Stegostoma tigrinum: one gene and its partner. The protein of the gene in region 2 interacts with the protein of the main gene of each other region in a pairwise test. Links are inferred from orthologs where the notes say so. Each region holds a gene or a part of one and is shown on either strand. Other genes may lie near its edges.

What was found. The genes of interacting proteins can lie anywhere in the genome.
Region 1: the proteins of lmo4 (region 2) and mothers against decapentaplegic homolog 4 interact in binary tests that used the Homo sapiens proteins (3 or more experiments, as listed by UniProt). The link is inferred for Stegostoma tigrinum from reciprocal best matches to the Homo sapiens genes LMO4 and SMAD4.

Annotation. Positions count from the first base shown.
Region 1 is NC_081354.1:158,000,447-158,004,199, reverse strand, and holds the start of mothers against decapentaplegic homolog 4, read left to right. Parts: upstream 1-1,331; 5' UTR 1,332-1,549; intron 1,550-3,753. UniProt on the Homo sapiens protein: In muscle physiology, plays a central role in the balance between atrophy and hypertrophy. When recruited by MSTN, promotes atrophy response via phosphorylated SMAD2/4.
Region 2 is NC_081361.1:90,465,154-90,468,906, forward strand, and holds the start of lmo4 (LIM domain transcription factor LMO4), read right to left. Parts: upstream 2,889-3,753; 5' UTR 2,798-2,888; intron 1-2,797. UniProt on the Homo sapiens protein: Transcription cofactor. Plays a role in establishing motor neuron identity, in concert with MNX1, acting, at least in part, to disrupt LDB1-LHX3 complexes thereby negatively modulating interneuron genes in motor neurons.

The sequences.
Region 1 (3,753 bases), on a different chromosome or scaffold from region 2:
TCATCCCTGCCTCCCTCACCTATCCCCTGCTCCCACCTCAAGCTGCATCCCCATTTCCTACCGACTAACCTCACCTTTGACCTGTCCATCCTCCCCAGACTGATCTATCCCCTCCCCACCTACACTCACCTCTACAGGCTCCATCCCTGCCCCTTTAACTTGTCCGTCTCCTCTCCGCCTATCTTCTCCTCTGTCCATCTTTGATCCACCTTCCCCTCTCTACCTATTTATTTCAGAACCCTCTCCCCATCCCCCTTTTCTGATGAAGGATCTAGACCTGAAACGTCAGCTTTTGTGCTTGTACTGCCGTGTTCATCCAGCTCCACACTTTGTTGTCTCGGATTCTCCAGCATCTGGAGTGCCCATTATCTCCACAATCTGCCATGGTGGGATTCAAACCTTGGTCCCCAGAACATTAGATCTGAGGAAAGGTCACTGGACATGAAAGGTTAACTCTGTTTTCTCCTTCAGATGCTGCCAGACCTGCTGACATTTCCAGCAACTTTGTTTTTGTCTCCAGAACGTTAGCTCAGTTTTTGAACTAATATGGGAGGTACTGTCTATGCAGTCTTGGTGAACATGCAGTGCATCCTCGATATATTCTGCTGCAACTGAGCATCCGGTGGGTAAAAAGAGCGATGTTTGTGGCTGTGGTGCCAGTCAAGTGGGCTGCTTTGTTCTGGTTGGTGTTAAGTTTCCAGTGTTGTTGGAGCTGAACTCAAGCGATTGCCGTTATGCAGTACTGTAGTTTCTTTCTTGCATGCACCTCTGAAAAGATTAAGGGCAGAATCCTATTTACTCTCACGGTTTGTATGAAGTTAATTACCACTGCTTAATTAGGATCAAGAGCTGAAGAAGTTTGGAAAAACAAGTTTGTATACAGTGACGGCGTAGGATTTGTAATTTACTGCTTTAAATACAGACTGAAACGCAGGCACCGAAGATTATTTGAAAGCAGAAGTAAAATCCTGCAGATGCCAGCGAAATGAAATCAAAACAAAACAAAACAAATGAAAACAGCGAGCGATGAAGGAACTGGCCAGGGTCCGGTGAAAACCCACTGCTGGACACCACGGACCGCTTGCTGCGCTGTAAATTTTCACAGATGCTGAGGCTGTGTTGTGGTTGTGTCATATTGTAACGAATCAGTCGGGTGGACAAAATACAAGTGTGAGAAACGAGTAGGGCGAATTGATACAAGTCGCTCGTGCGGACGAAAGCATTTGCAAAAAGGTTTTGGGTGCCTAGACGTGGGTTTGCCGGAGCGGCTCGGGCTCTGACCGGAGATTGCCGAATCCGTTCAGAACCGTCCGCCGAGTTTGGGGGGAGTGAGGATACAGGGCGCATGCGTCCTGGGAGCCGCCATGTTGTGTCCTTAAAAAAAAACGGGGATCTGGGTGACGGGGGAATCCGGGAGGGTGAACGATTGAAGCAGCACGGCCACGTCCGGCAGCTCAGATGCGGCTCGGAGAGTCCAGGGGTCTGGGGTGATCAGAGCAGCTGAGAGCCATCTCCCGGACTCTCTGAGAAAGATCGACGCCAAGCTGTGGTAAGTGAGGCCCGATCCGGGGGCCGGAAAACTTTCTCTCCGGCTCCGGGGCAGAGAAGGCGGGGATCCCGAGGCCCAGGATAGGCCTAGAGTCGCTGAACAACAGTGTTCGAGTTGGCAAGCTTTTCTTCCACAGTAATGTCTCTGTGCGACCATTAACTGAAGGACAGTTACTATGATGTTTTATAAGAAGCATTTTACTTAGACTCAACGTGTTATTGGCTGCTCTAAAGGAGCATCTGGGTATTGTAAACATGCAGGGGGTGGGGGCGGCGGAAGAGGATCCTGATTTACACAAACGCGCAATTTTTCTTTTATATAGGGTTTTGAAAATCTGTATTTCATTTTGTTTTAATTCTTCCCCCGATTGAAGTATTTAACTGTGGTGCCGGGGTGTACTAAGGGTTTGCGTGTTGAATTAAAGCTTTCCAGTTAGTTGCAGAGAAGTCTTGTGATCGAGTAGTTGGTCTGATTTTTATGTTTTGACAGAGTTTTGTTCTCTCCCATCCTCCTCGGCCGGCGTTGAGTAGATGCTGTTTAGAAATATTACTATTTCTTTCAAAAATCTTTGAACCTAAAATATTAACAGATTTTTAGGTTACACAATCTTATCTGCCATTAAAATGATCCACATGAATAAGATCAGTCTTCTCCAGCGTGAGTGGATTTTTTGAAAGGTGGAAGATTTTTTGTTTTGACGAATAGCCAATTAACTTTCTGGTTATGGAAATAGTAAAACAGGATAAAAGATTGTACTGCAAACTATTAGTATCAGTCTGATGCCTTGTAATGAAAGCTAGACTTGACTTAAATTTTGTCTTATATTGTTATAGTGCGGCCGCTTTTAGCACGTAAATGCAAAATGTATCACTCGAGAGAAACTGGACTTAGAACTTAAATTCTGTGAAAAGAGATAATTTTACGGCCATGCATGTTTCCTGAATTTAATACAAATTTTTGTGAATATTCTATTAAATACTTCACATAGTGTGATAAAACATGCATTTTGCTTGGAACTTCAAAACACTAACATCCAAGTAACTAGTGAAGGCATCCCTGCCCTGCAGTCTATCAGTTGTGATATTGCTGATATTGAGACTGGAGGTTGTTGAATCCATTTGGAGTTGGCCCTGGAATTGTGCTTATCAGTCGTCTTCATAAGCTGTAAAGCTTGGGCTTCTATGTTTTGAGTTAGTCTGTTTACTCTCCAACCATTCTCCAGTTTTGAGCAGGTTGATCACAATTGAACTGGCGTAGCAAAATCTCTTGTACTCTGGTCAGTGTTTTTTTTTGCTTCAGAATTTTTGGTATATTTTTAGCAGCATTATTCCATAGATAGTATTAAGTCAGTCATTCACAGTTCTTAAATGATTTTCCTGCTGCCAGTTTAGTTTGTTTTATGCTGGTATCAGTCCAGTACGCAGAACTTTATTTGCTTATCCAAGTGTAGACCTTATTTAAATTCCATTATATTTTCTGATTTCTAAATAATCCTTTACTGTCTATGTTCTCACAATTTCACTGCAAGCTAATTTTACAGACTTAGAGTTTTGATAGAACTTTGGATGCTGCAGAGCTAAAATAAAATCAAAATACTGGAAGTACTGAAGACTGTAGATTTCATGTTTGTTATTCATGTTCATTGTTTGTAATCTTGGTCCAATCCTCGTGAAGTACCACTTGATACTGTTTTAATAATGTGTGGAGCAGGAAATGCTGCTTTGCCTGCTGTGTTCCTCCAGCTCCACACCTTATCTCGGATTCTCCAGCATCTGCAGTTCCTATTATCACTGTTCTAATAATGTTGTGGAAGTTAACTGATTCCCATCATTTAAATCCAATCTTCTATGCAGTCACACACCCTGCTGTGGATTTCTGTGGCTTCTTCGATTGGAAATTTGTCAGACATCATGTCCAAATACATGAACAAGAGCAAAGTACTGCAGATAATGGAAATCTGAAATTAAAACGCAAGTATTCGATAGATCTTTATATAGAATGAAAAAGTTAATATGTAAGATTCTTTACCAACTCCCACAGCTAACTAGAATACACCACTTCTCACCCACCTTCCTGCGAAAAGGCTATCCCCTAATCTCAATTCCTTCGCCTCTGCTACATCTACTCCCGAGAAGAGGCATTCCACTTCCGGACATCCTAGATGTCCTCATTTTTCAAGGACCACAACTTCTCTGCAGAGAATG
Region 2 (3,753 bases):
CAAATCATATTTTCTGTAAAACTAAAATTACAAATACTTTGAAATAAATTTTACAAATTTTATAAATTTTACAAACACATTTTACTGTAATTATAGCAAGTTTTCGGAAATTTTATTTCATTAGAATCATATTTTAATTTATATAATTTTGTATCATATTTGTCAGCATATTTATTATGGAATAATATTTGCTTTACATAATCTATTTATGATGTATTTTGTATAATCTTACATATGAAATATTTTATGTAATCATAGATACTACTTATTTTAATAGAGTCAGAAGTCATACGACACCAGATTATTGTCCAGAGATAGTAGGAACTGCAGATGCTGGAGAATGGCCCAACAGGTTTATTTGAAATCGCAAGCTTTCGGAGCAGCGCTGGTGGATTATAATCTGATGTCGTGTGACTCCACACCGTTATTTTATAGAATCCTGTATGATATATTTTATAAGTCTATATATGCATGGAAGAGACATACTAGACTCGAAACGTTGACTATTTTTCGCTCTCTGCCTGATCTGCTGAGTATCTCCAGCACTTTCTGTTTTTATTACAGTTTCAAGGTTTGAGAATACTTGCTCCTCTCACACTTGAAGATGGAGGTTGAACAAGACTTTTCGTTTCACAGCTATGAGAATCACAGTGAGCTATAAGCTTTCTTTGTTACTTCGCGGGAACCGTTTGCTTGCGGAAGCGTTGTGAGTAAAGTGAAAACATCGTCGAGGCGAGGCATAGTCAATAGACTGTTCCCAATCACCACAGGCACCAACCTAACAGCAGCCCTTCCTTTTCGAAACAGAGATCTGGTTTAAATACAACTGATCCGCGGTTAATTACAAGAAGGTTGCAAGTTATAAATAATCTGGTTATTGCTGGTAAGATCCGGGCAGATAGTCTTTCAGTCAAAGGCAGAAGTCACATGGAGGGAGGTTACTGTAAATCACAACGTAGCTCTGCGATGTTATCACCGGCTGCACCGAGTGAATTATTGGCCTGTCATTCACCACCAAGAGCTGAAGCTAACCCCTCCAGGCCCTGGGAAAAAAATCCACGTGGAGAACCCGGGGATTTATGAGGGGAGTCACGGCCATCACTCACAGCCTAGCTACTAACCCATCAGCTAGCTCCGTCCATGGGTCACTGAGGCCGTTTGAGAACTCAGAAATGCCTGCAAGTGTCCGAAAGTCAGGGGGCGGAGGGTTCGAGGCTCCAGGCAGAGACGCTGACCAAAAGAGAGGTTTACTTCATTATAAAGTGGGTGGGTGTGTGTGCGCGCGTTTTGTTCACAGGTATTTGCAGTTTAGAAATTGACAGGGTTAACGAGGGTGCTAATGAGTGACAGTGATGCTTTATTGACCCAATTCCGTGGGATCTTTCTTTCCCCTCCCTCTGTGTCTCCGCTTTCTGCTCCTGTGATGAAACTGAGCCCGAATCAAAACCCACACACACAAAAACTCAAGTTACACTTTTGTCAATTATTGCACACTCTAAGGCCCGAAAGTAAAAACGCGATTATTTTCTGTTTGAGTTTCAGCGTCATTTAAGTTTGAGTTCGTCAAGTTTGACGAGAGTGTGGGCTCAAACTGAGGAAAATCTCAGGTATTCGTGGATTTTAATGTGAAACTCCAAACGCTACCCCCACCCTAACAATTAATGAACTATTGTCTCTCTCTCTCTGTCTCTCTCTCTCTCTCTACTGACTAGCAGATTTGTTCCAGTTTTCTAATTTCTCCTTAAATTCCACCCAGACCCGAGTTGCCAACCTATTCAGTGAAATGAATGATGTGAATAATACGGTTTTCACAATGGAATAATTAATTTGCTGAGACTATTAAAACAAGGGAGAATGATGAAGTGACTTGAATGCGAGCCTCGGAAGGGACTCATTGTTTGTCCTTTAATGAGCTTTTTGGTAAATGGCGGGGAAATATTGCCCTGCTCTCTGTAATATGATCGAGGTAAAAGTGTATTAAGAGTCGAAATCCCCCAGTGCAATGCGTTCGGAAAAGGCTCCCGCCCAGTATTGGCGAGGGTTTGAGTGTTTGCTTCAGTTCATAGATGATTAGAGTCCACACCACACACACACACACACACACACACACAAAATACCATGATATGGGCAGGTAGATTCTAATGAGCTGCCGAGTGATAAATTTCATAATTATTCTACCCACTGCTAACAGAAAATTCATCAGTCAAGGCAAATTAGTTCAGATTCATTAGAATAAGAAATCTAACGGGCACATATACTTTATTAGTTTACACCAATAGGTTTAATTAGCTACATATTTCACAGCTACAGTGCTGTTTCAGCCTGCTCTTAAGGAAGGGACTGCTTTATGTCTTTTATTTACAGTAACAAGCTATCAGGGCCCACGTTAACCCCGTCATTAATTCTGGAAACACGAGATAGGCTTGCTTTATCAACCAGAGACCCGTCAGGTCTTCGCTCAGTCTCTGAACTGGGCAAGTGTTATTTTCTCCTTCTCACACACCTTCGACCCTTCTATCCCTCCCAAATTAATTCTGCTGGCTAAACAAACACAGAGCGAAACAAGACAAACTCCAAAAACAGACACAAAGGACAACAAAACGCGCCAATTTTGTCAATAGTTTTTACAACAACATTAGCCCTTAAGGATTCGCCGCGCAGCTGTTCTGCGCTCTCAGTATGATCTGGATTCTGACGAGTTCATATATTTAATACTCTTACTAGTTGCAACTATGTCGTTTTAAGCCAATCAAATAGTAATTTAATGCAGGCTTTCATTTTCAAAGAATCTACTTACTTGTGTTTGCGAGTAATCTTCCTCAAAGTACCTCAGAGTCCGTCACACATCTTCAGCAGCAAATGACTAGCCTCACAATTTTCGCACTTGCTGGAGGGAGTGGCTGAAGAGTTGGCCCCTCCTGCTGGGAAGAGCTGGAACTTCACTGCTGATCATCAACTGGCTTCATAAGTTGCCAGAACTGACAATAGGCTACACTTGAACTGAACCAAAACACCGAGAAGGCTTAAGATATCAAGTTATGTTAAAAAAAGTATTCATTGAATGGCCTTATAATGTACAGATTCCAACTAGAATAGTGCCTTTTTAAAAAGCCTGCTTTCCATAAAAGTTTTTTGCAACTAGAGTGGGCTGTGAACATGTTTTTTGCACATTCATATCCAATGCCAGTAAAAAGATGCCTACCTTGTCATTTTAATGTCAGCCCTTGTTCAGGCGTAGTACTCCAAGATTTGGTGCTAAAGAAAGATGACTGTCCAGAGCCCGACTGAAAGTGTGTTTCACTCGGATTAGATGTCAAACCAAGCAGTTGGCTGTTCTTTCAGGTGGCAATTTAACACAATCTAATTTCCAAGAAGGGCTGGAGAATTTTCTGCTTTGTCATGGTATTATTTATTCCTCAGCTAATATTACACAAGGAAATGAATTATCCGAACATTACAAAGTCATGTGGATAGGTACATGAATGAGGAGGATTTAGAGGGATGTGGGCCAAATGCTGGCAAATGGGGCTAGATTAATTTAGGATGTCTGGCTGGCATGGATGAGTTGGACTGAAGGATCTGTTTCCATACTGTACATCTCTGTGGCTCTGTGGTCGTGATCAGTGAGCTGGTTGTGAGTGCTTGCTCTGCCAAATTTGGCAGCTTCAAGTTCTAAAGTACAATGATGTCTTCATTTGAAAAGTAGCTAATTGCTTATAATGTGGCATTTCAAGATCATAAAAACTGATACGT